3 linked regions of the Drosophila melanogaster genome follow. The protein of the gene in region 1 purifies or fractionates together with the protein of each later gene. This does not show direct contact. Each region holds a gene or a part of one and is shown in the gene's direction. Other genes may lie near its edges.

Region 1 (3,273 bases):
TTGCGAATCAGATAAGCCTCCGCGCAAAAGAGAAAACATTTGTTTCGATTTTGTCAATTAACGTTATCTCTTACTGGAGTAATGATTTTTTTTTTTAATATTTTTGGATTCTAAAATTTGTGAGTGCAGTTCGGAAAACGGAGATTAATACATTTGTTACATTTTCAATGTACGATGTCGGTATTGCATAGTTTATAGTGTACTTTCGATTTTCGGTTTATTTCTCATTAAATAATTACAACTTAGGCGCTCCCCTCGATTATGTATCTTTTGTATAATATGAACGAAATACGCGTTGTCAAACGGGCCGTGGATCGCTCGCTTGTTTACTCTGACGTCGATTGATGATGTGTGCCGACAAAACACAAATGTCCCACATCTATGCACTTATCCATCATCCGCTTATGCCGGCAGCTGGAGCTTCTTGCCCTTAAGAACTTTGGTAATGTATAAGTAGAAGAAGTCGCAGTACAAGACGGTCTGGACAACTCCGGCGAAGATCGCGATAAGGTCGTAGTGCGACTCGACCATGTACCGGTAGACCCAGTTGAGCAAGTAGAGTGCACGGTACGATCCCAGGGCGAAGAGGTAGTGGCTGGTGATGGACTCGGCCTCGCCGGTTCTGCTCACTAGGAACAGCTGCGGCAGAATGGCCACCGATTCCAAATAGATCGAGAATGTCCACAGCACTTCCATCACGGTAAACTCATGATTGATCACCAGCGAGAGCAGGGCGCACGGCACCAGCAGGAATTCGATGCGGAACGAATCGTGATTGTGGTCATAGGTGGCCTTAAACTTCACGTACATCAAATACACGGTGGCACCGGACGTGGCCAGGAACAACACCTTCATCACCGAGTTGTACAGGCTCACGTAGGTGGTGAACAGATCCAGGTAGCGCGTCAGATAGACCACGGCGAACAGGATCTGCGACTTGCCCGATATTCCGGCGCACGAGCGGGTCTTCCATATCTTCAGCAGCAGTATTATGATGGCAAACACATGCGACAGATCCCCAGCAAAGCGAAAGATATTCATCGTGATCTAATCCGCCGACTTGGCTACTTGGCTGCCCGGTTGGCTGTTTGATTGTTCTACTTCCTTTCGCTGCGGCTGCGTCACGGAACGCACGCCTATATGAAAATGGGAGTGTATACTATAGCAATAATGGCGGCATTCAGTGTTTCAACAGCTGCATACGTTACCAAAATGACTTTTCGCCTAATTTGCCAACGAGTAGAGATGTGAGGGCTTTGCCGCTTCGGAAAAAAACTTGTCAGAATGTCGGCATAAACAATGACGTGGCTGATGAATAAGAATAAGTTTGATAACATGGCCACTGCCTATCGATATCGATAAGTGCCGCCACATGATTTTTTTAATGAAAATTCGACCATCTCTAACGAAAAAAATTGAGAAAAAACATACTGATTCAAATTTTTTCTTTTTTCGTTTTTTATCATAAGATTTAAAAAAAATTTAATTTTTTTCTCTTCTTTTGCTAGGGATAGTCGAATGTTTGTTTAAAAAATCATGTGGATTATCAATAAAAAATTTATATTCGATAGGCTCGATTGAAAGACACCAGAAAATGCTGACCGCCGCACACGCCACTCGATTTATTCTTCATGCCTATCGAAAAAAGCCGTGGTGAGGTTCCGGCATCTGTATTTTATTTACAAGCGATAGAATTAACATAGAAATCAAATAAAATGGTAAGTAAAAACACTGTTTTAAGCATCTGACTGCAATGGTTAAGTTTTGTTTAGTTGTATTAATTCATAGATTCTTACTTTCGCGGTTGCGATTTCGTATTTACATAGGCATACATACATACAAACATGCATGCGAATAAATAAAACAATTTGTTTTGGCTAATTAACTATTTTATATTTGTTTAAAATTATGATTTTTAGTGATCTTCGATATTACGCTGAGATTTGCTATTTCAAACTCTGTGGTTTATTAAAATTTTTATAAATACCGGCTTTTTTAAAGGGTCGAAATGGTTTACAAAAGATGGCGCGACTTTTATGCATGCTATTGTATTTCACAATTAAATCCTTTGAATTCCTTTATTTCAGACGATCGGCAAGAACAACAAAATGATTCAGCACCTGAATTATCGGGTGCGAATCGTGCTGCAGGACTCGCGTACCTTCATCGGTACCTTCAAAGCCTTCGACAAACACATGAACTTGATCCTCGGCGACTGCGAGGAGTTCCGGAAGATTCGCTCGAAGAATTCCAAGGTGCCCGAGCGCGAGGAGAAGCGCGTGCTGGGCTTTGTATTGCTGCGCGGCGAGAACATAGTTTCACTGACGGTGGAGGGACCACCGCCGCCAGAGGAGGGCCTGCCCCGAGTTCCCATTCCGGGAGCAGCTCCTGGTCCGGGAATCGGTCGCGTGGCCGGACGCGGAATGCCTATCAACTTGTCCGCCGTGCCAGCGGGTCTCCAGGGTCCCGTGAGAGGTGTGGGCGGACCCGCCCAACAGCACATGGCTCCGATGGGACGAGGAGTGCCACGAGCACCGATGATGGGTGCACCGCCACCGGGCATGATTCCCGGCGGCATGCCCTCGATGCCAGGAAACATGGGACGCGGTGCTCCGCCACCGATGCGCGGACCGCCGCCCAGCATGATCCGTGGAGCACCACCACCGGGCAGGGGTGGCTATTAAGTATAAAGTACAATCTAATAAAAACTCATTTAGAAAACACCACTTAATCGATGGATTCGTGTATTTATGTGTTGAATGTAAGCATACGTACATACAATGATTATTGCTTTACATCAATTATATGAGAACCTAAGCAGCAGGGACTGGATTTGGTCGTTGCCAGCCACATCGTTCGTTAATTGGGTGTTCCAGTTAAGACCGAAACGCCTCGTGAATGATTATACCTTTGGTACGTGCGTGTGCGTACAGGATGTTTTATGCCCAGATGTTGGAGAGATCCCAGATCTTGATGAGCCTGTCCTGGCCCACTGTCAACAGGCGCTTTCTGTCCTCGTCCAGGTCCATGTAGACGATCGAATGCTTGGCGTCATTGAATGAAGCCAGCGAGGGGCGCTCGACTGTCTGAAGTTGTTTGTAGCACGGATCACAGGTACGCACATCAAACTCGAAGCCCATTATGGGTATGTTAATGCGATTGGTGGAACAGTTGTCGCACACGGCTTTGCCGCAGTGGCGACAATGATGCTGTCGTATTCCTGACAGTCAGAAATTACTTGTAAAACAAAGAGTAACTCAAGTGTAAGCTATT
Region 2 (7,651 bases), on another chromosome or scaffold:
CTCGGGATGGAAGAAGATCTCGGGTCCCAGGAATCGCTCGTAGCCCACGTCCACATTGAACGGCGCCTTGGTTACCGTGTTAACGCCGCTAAAGTTGCGTATCCACTTGCCCGGCTCCGTGTCGTACTTGGCAAATTCTTTGGCGATATCGGGACAGATGTAGCAGTGCTTCTCCTTGATCGCTTTAGCAGTCTCGAGGCTCTGTTCCGGCGGAATGCCCACCTCCCGTTCGCGTAGCAGGCTCTGGATGAACGAGGTGATATTGCGGCCCGCGATGGGAATGTGCTTGATGCAGGAGCCGATCACATAGCCCTCGGCCTAGAAATGAAAAACAGCTTAATATATTTATATGGTTATAACTAATACGCTATTTTATCTTAATAATTCCCTCTTAATATAACATTCTGTAGTATTAATAATAGCCTCAGAATGTGCTATTTATTTATTAAATAAATCCGTCGACTGTTTCGGTTTTGGGTTCTCTTTTCAAACAGTTTTTACCGAATCCAGTGCCAACCCAACTCTGCTGATAAGATAAGATCTGTGCTACTTACCACGGGTATGACGTGCGTCACTCCATCGCCGCTGTCCACCACGATGCCTGTAAGGGTACGCTCCTCTGCGGACCGGGAGGCCCAACTGGCGGCTAGGGCAAGCACCGCCTGGACGGCGATATACAGACCAGGAACGTTGAACGTCTCAAACATTATCTCCGCGGTGTACTCCCGATTTTCGGGCGTATTTAGCGGCGGCTCAGTCAGCAGGAAGTAGTGATCCTCAGGCTCGGCGCGCAGATACTTAAAGACGCACTGCTCCAGAAAGCGCTCCATCAAGTCCCAGTCCTCCACCAGACCATGACGCACCGGATACTATTGGAATGCAATGATAAATGTGATGTCGGTTGCTTAATGACCATAGATACAAGAGCATACCTTGATGGAGTAGCCGGTGGCATCGAAGGCCTCATCGCCGATGAAGAAGTCCAGGTCCTCGATGCCCTTTGTGATGCGCCGTGTGTTGGTGTCTCCCACTCGTGCCGACTCCTTGATGGCAATCGCCGAGGGAATAATGAACTGCGGCTCTTTATTCCCGGCAAATCCCAGTTTGGAGTAGCTGATGGATGTGCAGACAAGCAGAGTGTTAGTCAGTCGACCTCCTTTCCGTCCAATTGGAGACCCCCACGGGCAATCGAAACTAAAAACTCACCCGGTGCCCACATCGATTACGCATGCCGGTAGCCTGCCTGCCATGGTCGCTGCTCGTCCTTTTGCCTTGCTGCCAGTTAAAGCTCTTCAGTTGCGATCTTCGCTCGCCTTTAACACAAATTTCCCTTCGTTTCAGTTGCAGATAAACCCAGATTTCTATATATTTTCAACCACACCTCCAACTATGTGTCACTTTGCTCTTCGTCACACACACATTCGCGTGTTCACGTACGAGCAGCTGCCAGGGCTGCAACAATCGATTGGCCATGCAACTTGAATGGCAATTTATCGGGAATTGTGAAAAGTCGCTGTTTTTTAAGCCTTTAAATATAGTTACCTTATGAAGCAAGTGGTCTATATATAAATGGTGCCTAGATTTTCCGCAGCGAAGGCTTTTCAATATTGCTCGAATTTTTGGCTAAACTGTTACCGGCGAACATAATGCAGCCCTGTAGGGCCCCATACACTGCGGCGTTAGTCAACACACACAGGCGCTGTTTCTTCTTCTTCTAAGCTTCGTTCGTCTCGCGAATTTCGGCGGTGTGTGTGTGCGTGTGTGGAGTCTTTTCCACGTTTTTTCCTCCGGAAAAAGAGATTTGCAATTTGGCCCACACATTGGAGCCACTGGTTCGGCTAGCATAAACCAAGGTCTATATAAAGGCAAGAACAGCGGGTGCACAGTGGGCACAAGGTGACCGCCAAACGACGAAGTGCAGCAGAAAGACCGGCGAAACATAGAATCAAGCAAAAGTAGCAAAAATGGAGGCACAAAAACTCACGGAACTGTTGCGCGCAACTATTGATCCGAATCCGGAACAGCGCAAGGCGGCCGAGGATCAACTGGCCCAGGTGAGTTTGCTCCCAAAAATAAACGCCTGCACTTGAATTCGAAAGGTCTTTGGAGGTGGCGCCATCGCCTGAAAACCATGTGCTTTTTTAATTGTTCGCTTTTAACCTCCCTCGCTCCCGCACTTCATCACTCTGGTCGTTGTACAAGTGTGTGGGTGTGGATAGTGTAATCCGATATCGGTCAAAAAGTTTGCCCTTTATGTGTTTACCATTATCCCGACTTCTATGTTGTTGCCCCAGAGGCAACAAGTCGATATCTTTGGGGCACCTACATATGTATGTATGCTATATATATTTCTATATGTGTACATATTTATTGCGAGTTTCGTGTGATTCTTCGGAAATCCACTGAATTGTTAATAAATATTTAATTGAGACTTTCGAAATATCGCCGGAATGCCCTTTGATTGAAGCTTACGCAATTCCCTTGGAAATAAATGTGGGCAATCAGAGCGGCCAGTCTAATTAGACCCCACCCCACTAACCAATTGCTTTGGCCCCACTGTAGAGGCATGCTCATTACGACTGAGTCAGCATCTAACGATTTGCATGCCCCTCCCAATCGCCTCCCACCAACCCCCCTGTTGTCAATTAACTTTATCAGCGCTTATGGCCAGCAGTTGTTCTTGGCTCCTCCATATTAATTGAGCTCTGTGAACGGAATTTAAAGTGCTTCTGCCATTGATTCTTTGACCAATTCAAATTTAACCCAACCCCAAACAGCTGTGTAAACATATCCATTCTATTTTATTTCTATACATTAAAATCCCCACAGATACACAAAATCATCGGATTTGTGCCCACCATACTGCAGATCGTTATGCAGACGACGGTGGAACAGCCGGTGCGCCAGGCCGGTGCTGTCTACCTCAAGAATCTGATCAACAGCAGCTGGTCGGACCACGAGGCCAAGCCTGGAGAGCCAATACCCTTCTCTATACACGAACAGGATCGGGCTATGATCCGTGGCGCTATTGTAGATGCTATTGTGCACGCCCCCGAGTTGATTAGGTGGGTAAATCCATTGAAAATCCTTTCCAGGGGGCTAATTTCGTTCTGTACACAGGGTCCAGTTGTCTGTCTGCGTCAATCACATCATTAAAAGCGATTTCCCTGGACGCTGGCCACAGGTGGTGGATAGCATCAGCATATATCTGCAAAACCAGGATGTCAACGGCTGGAACGGAGCTCTGGTAACCATGTACCAGCTGGTCAAGACCTACGAGTACAAGCGGCATGAGGAGAGGACGCCGCTAAACGAGGCAATGAACCTACTGTTGCCCATGATCTACCAGCTGATGGTCCGACTGCTGGCAGAGCAGTCCGAGCAATCTGTGCTGCTACAAAAGCAAATTCTCAAGATCTACTATGCCCTCACGCAATACACCCTTCCACTGGACCTCATTACCAAGGAGATCTTCTCGCAGTGGATGGAGATCTGTCGTCAGGTGGCTGATCGCGCAGTGCCCGATAGCTCGCACCTGGACGATGATGAGCGAACGGAGTTCCCCTACTGGAAGACTAAGAAGTGGGCCCTGCACATCATGGTTCGCATGTTCGAGCGGTACGTTGACGGCAGTATCTATAGTCATAGTCTAGATAACTAACGTTGTATGTATAAATTTAGTTATGGCAGTCCCAGCAATGTGGTTAGTGAAAAATACCAAAAATTCGCAGAGTGGTATCTGCCCACGTTTAGCCAGGGCGTGCTGGAGGTGCTCCTCAAGATCCTCGACCAGTACCGAAACAGAGTCTACGTCTCACCACGCGTCCTCACTGATGTGCTCAACTATCTGAAGAATGCGTAAGTAATTTAGTATTCTATAAATTCTCATGTGACATTTGATATATAGTTGGAATGTAAAATCGATGTTACTTAATTAGGAGATACCTAATCTTTGATAGAAAGTCTGAAAATTTTTAAAGCTGATAAGATGTAGTGTTTATAATTGCAGTTACAAAAGTCGATTCCAATCAGTTGACTCGTTTTTTTAAATGTTATTTATTCCGTTTGCAGGGTTAGCCACGCCTACACCTGGAAGCTGATTAAGCCTCACATGGTGGCTGTCATCCAGGACGTGATCTTTCCCATCATGTCGTTTACTGACTCCGATCAGGAGCTCTGGGAAAGCGATCCCTACGAGTACATTCGCCTTAAGTTCGGTAAGAGAACTTTTTAAATGACTTGAACTACATTACTAACCGATTCCAATAGATATCTTTGAGGATTATGCCACACCTGTACCGGCAGCCCAATCTCTGCTGCATTCTATGTGCAAAAAGCGCAAGGGCATTTTGCCCAAGGCAATGGCCACAATTATGCAGATAATTACATCGCCGAATGCGGACAACAAACAGAAAGATGGTGCCTTGCACATGATTGGAACGCTGGCGGACGTACTGCTGAAGAAGGCTTCGTACCGCGACCAAGTGGAGTCCATGCTGACCACCTACGTCTTCCCAGAATTCCAAAATCCCGCGGGCCACATGAGAGCGCGCGCGTGCTGGGTGCTGCACTATTTCTGTGACGTTCAAATCAAGAATCCCCAAGTGCTGGCCGAGATAATGCGTCTGACCACAAACGCCTTGCTTACCGACAAGGAGCTGCCCGTCAAAGTGGAGGCAGCTATCGGTCTGCAGATGTTCATATCGTCCCAGGACGAGGCGCCGCAATACGTGGAGGCACAGATCAAGGAGATCACCAAGGAGCTGCTTACCATCATTCGAGAGACGGAGAACGAAGATCTAACAAACGTTATGCAAAAGATCGTGTGCACCTTCACCGAGCAATTGCTGCCCGTGGCCACCGAGATCTGCCAGCACCTGGCCACCACCTTCAGCCAGGTCCTAGAATCTGAGGAGGGATCCGACGAGAAGGCCATCACGGCCATGAGTCTGCTTAACACTATCGAAACTCTGCTCAGTGTGATGGAAGAGCATCCTGATGTCCTGCTTAACTTGCACCCGATCGTCATTAATGTTGTCGGACACATTTTCCAGCACAACATAACTGGTTAGTTGGCTGTGCCCTCAATCGTTGATATCGTTTATAAAAATATCTGGTCATCTCTTCAGACTTCTATGAGGAAACCTTCTCCCTGGTCTACGACCTGACAGCCAAGGCCATTTCCCCCGAAATGTGGCAGATGCTGGAGCTCATCTATCAGGTGTTCAAGAAGGACGGTATTGACTACTTTATCGACATTATGCCTGCTCTGCATAACTATGTGACGGTCGACACGCCCGCTTTCCTCTCCAATCCCAACAGGCTGTTGGCGATTCTCGACATGTGCAAAACGGTAAGCTTCTATTCTTAATAATTAAATATGTCTGAACCTCGAATAACTATAATAATAATTATAATAATTATAATTTATTTTAGATGCTTACTAGTAGCCCTGGCGAGGATCCCGAGTGCCATGCCGCCAAACTGATGGAAGTGATTATCTTGCAGTGCAAGGGTCAAATCGACTCAGTGATACATATGTTCGTGGAGCTGGCTCTGTCCCGGTTAACACGTGAAGTTCAATCCTCAGAGCTGCGCACTATGTGCCTGCAAGTGGTAATCGCGGCACTCTACTATAATCCCCAGTTGCTGCTGTCCATTCTGGACAAAATGTCCCAGCAAAACAACGACTCTATCAGCGCGCACTTTATCAAGCAGTGGCTTCACGACACGGACTGTTTCCTAGGGTAAGAATGGACATGCTTTTTAATGATCTAGATAGTTTATTGTTACGTTTTCCAGCATCCACGATCGCAAACTTTGCGTCCTGGGTCTGTGCACCCTCATCTCGCTGGGCGAAGCCAAGCCCCAGGTTCTGAGCGAAGTGGCTGGAAAGATTGTGCCCGCACTTATTTTGCTTTTCGATGGTCTAAAACGCGCCTACGAGTCTCGTGCTCAGGAGGAAGAGGAAGATGAGGAGGAGGAGGACGGTGACGACTGTGAGGAGGCTCTGTCCAGTGACGAGGATGACATGGACGAAATGGCACCGGACTATCTGGATAAATTGGCCGAATTTGCCAAAACCAAGGGCAATGAGTCGGGCTTCGAAGTGAAAGCCGAAATCAAGGACGACGATGCTGACTCGGACGGTGACGCCGAGGAGTCTGTGGGTGATCTGAACGAGACTGGACTGGAGTCGTTTACCACGCCCATCGACGATGAGGAGAACGAAAGCGCCATCGATGAGTACTGGACGTTTAAGGAAGTTATTACTGGTAAGTTGTGCTGAATTTTGTACACCATTGGAAAACTAACTAATAACCTAATCTTCGCCATCAGCACTTTCTGCACAAGACCAAGCCTGGTATGCGCTGTTGACCTCCAACCTCACACCTGAGCAAGCCAAGGCGCTGCAAGAGGTGGTGGTGACGGCTGACCAACGCAAAGCCGCCAAGGAATCGAAGCTGATCGAGAAGCAAGGTGGCTTCGCCTTTCCGCAGACTGCCGTGCCCACGTCGTTTAAGTTCGGCTCCTAAGAAACTGAATTGACCAGATCACCAGACACTTGGTTCGATTTCTGACTTGATTGTTTCTCATATTCTTTCCAAAAATAACAAAAACATCAAACAAAATACATCTGGCATGCTGATGATGGCTTTGAAGGCATTCTCTTGGTTTTCGTACACTCCGTGTACCCATGTATGCTGCGACAATCGGTCGATTAATCAGATTAAAAAATCGATCGGTCGAGCGGCGACGAGACCGCACTATATTTATTGTAGATTTATATTTTATTTCCTATTTTGTGGCCAGGGCGGCCAACTAAATTATGATAACTTAAGTCCATTGTAAATCTTTGTATGTAAACGAAACGAAACGAAACGAAAAACAAACACGTCAGGACGAGAAGGTCTCATTAAATGAGATTGTGCCCACCAGCACGCCCCCGTAGAACTCCAAAAAAAAGTTGGCATCTAGGTCAGAGAATGAGAATTCAACGCAGAGCATTTCACATACATTTTCTTTATACACACATACACGTATATTCTGTACTAAATGAAGCGATATTTTTGAAAAATAAAAAAAAAAAATTTTTAACGTTTGAACTGGAGAAATCTTTTTCTTATTTGTGTACCTTTTTGTGAGGTATTTAAACCGTTCAGGGAACGAATTTTATAAGTACATCTAATATATATAATTATATTTAATAATGCTAAGTGCTGAAAGACTTTGTTTCCGGAAGATTTCAGCAGTTTAAATATTGGCGGTCATTAAGTAGAGTTATCGATAAGAGCGTCCATCCTGTCGTTCCCCAAAGACGTTTTCTCACACTGAATTGCCGATCGATAAGCGATATCAGAACGCGTTATTTGTTTGGACAACCGGTTGCATTTGTTTACAACCAAGTTTTATTTATAAAGTAGTAACTTACCTTTATTAACCATGAAAATAGCTGTCGAAGGATGTGCACATGGCGAGCTGGAACGAATATACGACACCATAGAGGGCATCGAAAAGGTTGGCGGCACCAAGATCGACTTGTTATTGTGCTGTGGCGATTTTCAGTCCACCCGGAATCTGGAGGATTTGCAGACGATGGCTGTACCAAAGAAGTACCTGGATATGTGCTCCTTTTACAAGTGAGTAGAGT
Region 3 (4,652 bases), on another chromosome or scaffold:
TAATGTCGAGAAATAAGTCCTTACCGAAAGTTGCCATCCAGTTCGTGAAAGGCGCGCTCGAGAAGAACGGGTTTGAGGCGCATGCAGACGAGGCTAAATGCAAGGACTAAACTATATAATAGCTCGTGTGCGGTAGAAAAATAAATCTCACTGCTTAATCTCCTTTTCCTTGTCGAGTAGACAGCGCAACTCCCGCAGGTCCAAGAGAAACTCTTTGTCCATTTCGGTATCATAGTACTCCGGTCCAGTGTGCTGCATTTAGTAAATTAGTTTCGTAAGGAATTAGCAGAGCTAAGTCATACCTGGTAAGTATACGTCCAGTAGATCATGATGGCATGGGAGCAGGTCAACAAATCACTGAAGCTCAGGTATTGCAACTTTTTTTTGGTGGTTTCGAAACGCAGGCAGGCCAGGAAAACAATGCAGGCGTACTTTCTGTAAGAGTGAAAGGTTTAGCTTTTTGAAGTTCAATACATTGATTATATTCATACTTGGCTAGATCGGTGGATATGATGAAGTGTTGCTTGATGTTGTTGGTTAACGTGCCCGGCATTTCCTCGACTGCCTTAAAAATGCGTTTTACGTTGTCAAATTGTCGGCTGAAGAAGAAGTTGAAATATATTAGACTCTACTCTGCCTAAGTAGCGGCCAAATTTACCCACCGAACTGATTTTAGCTTGACGCACGTCTTCTCGGCCACCTCGTCGAGGTCCTTGCGGTAGCGGGACGACAGCTTCTTGCCAAGAATTTCGCGAGCCACCACATCATCGATGGAATAGTACTTCTCGGTGATAAGGTCACGCATTTGTGGCTCCAGCTGGAAGCAGGATTGCTCCATCAGTTTGGTGGGTGCGTTTAGGTATAGTTCAATCAGGGAATAGGTGCGGTAATGATCCAGTACATCCGATGCAATCAGGTCGCTGGGAGCGCCCATGGAGTGACCAAAACCCTTCTGTTTCAGATAGGACACCGCCTCGCTGGCTATAATTGTAAATCGATGGAGCCGTTTGACATGAAACAAGATTGCAATTGGGAGAAGAAAACTTACAGGAGAAGCCTTCGATCCATAGCTGGTAAATTTCTGGATCGATGATTGTATAATTACTTATAAACACATCCACATCGGCCTGTAAGCATTCAGTTTTACTATTTATTATTATTTTGGATCATCAGATAGTTACCATTATATTGCTAGAGTGACCGTTTTCTGAACTAGCTGTCCAATTGGATATATCGAAATGTATGTTAGAGATGAAACACTGTGTAGTTCCAACACAAGCAGCATAGTTTATTCTTCTCATGAATTTAAAACTTTTCCTTGAAAGTAATAAATCGTTCTTGTTTTCATAACATCAATATATCCTATTAATAAACAAGCGAAAATGTTTAGAGTAATAATGGTAAAACCAAATTCGGTGTGATTTTGAGTTTTAAGATCAAGTCATAAGGAAATCTTTAAAATTGTAATTCTCAGAAATCTTAATTTAATATGCAAGATATATAGCTGTAAACTTTCCGATATTTAAAAACCAGAGATGGGGCACAGATAGCGAGCACGAATCACGACTATCGATAGTGCCGATAGCGGGCGATAGCTGCAACGCGCATGACAACTCTAGTTATCATGAGGAAGAAGAGGAGGATATCAACTTTTTTAGTAAATTAGTAAAGTTTAAGCTTAAAAAATGTAAATTGCAATGAACCACCAGCTGTAAATAGGGCAATGCAACTTGAACGCGACCTGCGCGCAATTCGCATGTAAGTCGTGGTGAGCGCTGAAAAAAACGCGGATCGCGGCGGCAGCAACAACAACAACAACAACAGACCGTCCGTCGTCTCGGTAGACGTCGAATAATATACATATATCGCAATAATCCAATTGCAAGTGGTAATCCGATGAACAATTCAAGTGCATTACTATCGTTGGACCGCAGAATAAGTGAAAGTGAACTGGCATAACAATACTATGGAACAGGTTGACTCCTCCACCGAGCTGCACCTGAATAGGAAAGATCTGGCCGCGCTGGCCGAGGATGTTGTGAAAGAAGAGGTGATATTAGAAAGCTCCAGCCATCACCATCATCATCATCACCACCAGGTAAGAAAAAGGAGCAACAAACGGCTGCGTAAGGAGCCCATTTGGTTTTGGATTTTCCATTCGCTTCTCCTTTGGCGGGGTGGTTTTGGTTCCGGACTGTGTGTTTGGTTCAGGTTCTATCTATTGAATCCGAAACCGAATCTGGCTCGAAAACCGCTCCGCTTCGCTCTGCGCAGTTGTGGAAAGTGGGTGGTGGGTGGTTGGGCTAGGTGGCCTGGGGGTGGCGCAACTTGCGCCCTACGGAACGCTCCGTGCGACCCACTGGGCCACAGGCATTCCCCGCTCGCCTTCTCGCCTCCATCCACTCCCAATTTGCCTCCTCCTCCTCGTTTTCCCCCTCCACCCACCGCATTTGTGGCGCACAAATGTTGTGTATACCGATTTTCATTTTTCCCATGCTGTGTTGTTTACTTACATTCGAATTTTCATTCCCGATTCCTGTGCAAATCGCATTGAATTAAATCGCAAACGCCATCAATTGGCCGCTGGACACTCACCCACATACATGTGACGAACGTGGGAATATGTGCGCTATGGTAATGCAGTTGGACACCAAGGTTCGCATGGTCACATCCTCCTCCAACGACAACAGTGGTAGCGGCGGCGCCAGTGGCGGTACAAGCGGAGCGGGCGGAGGAAACGGCGGTGGCGGTGTGGTTTCGGTGCCCGTATCCCTGCCCATCGGTTCGATGATAACCGGCACTACCTTCAATGTGATCACGCCCGACCAGCTGCCCCCTCACTTCAAGCCGATGCTGTGCGTCGACAACAATGGCTACCTGTCCGGCAGCACGGTCAGCATGGGCAACGACCTCAAGACGATCGTCATCCAGCAACAGCAGACGCAACCAGGCGGCGGCGGTGGCGGCGCCAATAATGCGGGCACCAATACGACCGCCACAAATACGATTGGACTGAATCACGATGGCTCCGGGAGCAACAATAGCCACGACAGCCTGGCCACCTTGGAGCACGCCGCGGGCGGAGCGAGTGGCGTCGGCGGTGGCGGCGGCGGAACGGGTGGTGGCTCCTCGGGATGGTCGGAGAACCCGTCAACCCAGCACAATGAGGTCTTCCAGATCCGCTGCAAAACCACCTGCGCCGAGTTATACCGCAGCAAGCTGGGCTCCGGCGGCCGTGGACGCTGTGTGAAGTACAAGGACAAGTGGCATACGCCCAGTGAGTTTGAGCATGTGTGTGGCCGGGGCTCCAGCAAGGATTGGAAGCGTTCGATCAAGTACGGCGGCAAATCGCTGCAGTCCCTCATCGATGAGGGTACGCTCACGCCGCACGCGACCAACTGCAGCTGCACCGTCTGCTGCGACGACGAAGCAGGTGAGTCAGGTGAGACGAACAACAATTACTACACACTCCCCCCTTCTGCATGGCGCACCGAGTTGACCTGGTCATCGGTCCGTCATGGTGTCCCAGGTGCAGGACTCGCGCACAAACCGAATTCATAACACCACAGCTTTAAAAACCCACCTGACTTCTGTTTATCAACAATTTTTTGTTTGCAAACTATAGGGTTTAAACAATTCCAAGTAATTGGAAATTTTACTCAGCAAGGGCTTCTTGGGCAAAAATGTTGCAAGAAATAATATTAAAACTTTCTTATTCTCAAGTGTGTATGTCATATTGTAACCCTATAGAACATCTCATTAAGGAATGAGATGTAATGATGAACTCCAATTAAGAACACAAGTCCGTTTTAAGTTGAAGGCAGCCGTCGGGCTGACATATATTTATTCAATTTCTTCTTTTGATTTTAGAGTAGGCAGAAATGGTTCTGTCAGCTCAACGTCTACAGAGTCTCTCCGATTTTACAGTTTTTTATATATTTGGACTTAGGCTAATCCGCGTAGCTGCGCTGCCGGGTACGCCAGCAGCGGAGCGGCGTTCTTATGTATATCTTATATATCTAGGCTTATCGGGAGAGCGAGATATGTATGTACGTATGTAATATGTATTTGGTCGGCGTGTGAATGCTGACCATGCACTTATACTTTTTGCCTTCGAGTGGGTGATCATGTTACATCCGCCCTGGCCTAACTGCGTGCATAAACATAAACATAAACATAGCAACAAAGTGCTGCCATAAGTTAATATGCTATTTTATTTAATTGTTCTTAATATTGCATAGGCACATACTACATCTCCCTCCTTTTGAAAAATAACGTAACCTAGTGAAGTTATTTTGATTATTAAATGCAAATTATTTTATTTTTATTTTTATTTTGTTTGTGTTTTTGTTTGAACAACAATAGTTGATTTTATAATGCAAAGATAAAAATATACGTAGTGTATGGAAAATTTGTATAAATGATTAAGGAAAATATAAGTTTAAATTCAATCATGAATGAAATTTCTTTAATCTATCTTTATGAACTATTTGTTTTTTGTTTTTATTAGTAAGTAGCGTAATATTGTTATTATCTCCTATGCTTTCTATCTTATAGGGCCCCGTATATTTAAAGTCTAATTTATGACCTACCTCATTTCTTAGTAAAACTTTATCTCCTACTTCTAATTCTATGTCTTTTATTTTTAAGTC

The links.
Region 2: the proteins of SmB (region 1) and msk purify together in Drosophila melanogaster (affinity purification with western blotting, with the first as the bait; one study listed by BioGRID). This does not show direct contact.
Region 3: the proteins of SmB (region 1) and Deaf1 purify together in Drosophila melanogaster (affinity purification with western blotting; one study listed by BioGRID). This does not show direct contact.

Annotation. Positions count from the first base shown.
Region 1 is NT_033779.5:10,424,939-10,428,211, reverse strand, and holds SmB (small ribonucleoprotein particle protein SmB), read left to right. Parts: upstream 1-1,584; 5' UTR 1,585-1,715; coding exon 1,716-1,718; intron 1,719-2,087; coding exon 2,088-2,684; 3' UTR 2,685-2,729; downstream 2,730-3,273. Other genes in the region: KdelR (KDEL receptor), read right to left, coding at 403-1,041; Wdfy2 (WD repeat and FYVE domain containing 2), read right to left, coding at 2,940-3,220. UniProt on the Drosophila melanogaster protein: Plays a role in pre-mRNA splicing as a core component of the spliceosomal U1, U2, U4 and U5 small nuclear ribonucleoproteins (snRNPs), the building blocks of the spliceosome. Involved in germline establishment and development.
Region 2 is NT_037436.4:8,114,476-8,122,126, forward strand, and holds msk (moleskin), read left to right. Parts: upstream 1-1,703; 5' UTR 1,704-1,964; coding exon 1,965-2,054; intron 2,055-2,829; coding exon 2,830-3,065; intron 3,066-3,120; coding exon 3,121-3,618; intron 3,619-3,681; coding exon 3,682-3,858; intron 3,859-4,071; coding exon 4,072-4,217; intron 4,218-4,269; coding exon 4,270-5,067; intron 5,068-5,129; coding exon 5,130-5,353; intron 5,354-5,436; coding exon 5,437-5,747; intron 5,748-5,802; coding exon 5,803-6,275; intron 6,276-6,339; coding exon 6,340-6,536; 3' UTR 6,537-7,104; downstream 7,105-7,651. Other genes in the region: Arp3 (Actin-related protein 3), read right to left, coding at 1-318, 555-869, 933-1,113, 1,207-1,250; ldbr (lariat debranching enzyme), read left to right, coding at 7,444-7,640.
Region 3 is NT_037436.4:19,816,569-19,821,220, forward strand, and holds the start of Deaf1 (deformed epidermal autoregulatory factor-1), read left to right. Parts: upstream 1-1,605; 5' UTR 1,606-1,966; coding exon 1,967-2,098; intron 2,099-2,533; exon of another isoform or gene 2,534-2,622; coding exon of another isoform or gene 2,623-2,643; coding exon 2,644-3,442; intron 3,443-4,652. Other genes in the region: fibp, read right to left, coding at 25-93, 152-252, 303-435, 492-599, 663-981, 1,049-1,127, 1,182-1,184. UniProt on the Drosophila melanogaster protein: Transcription factor that binds the homeotic Deformed (Dfd) response element. High affinity binding sites contain at least 1 TTCG motif surrounded by additional TCG sequences.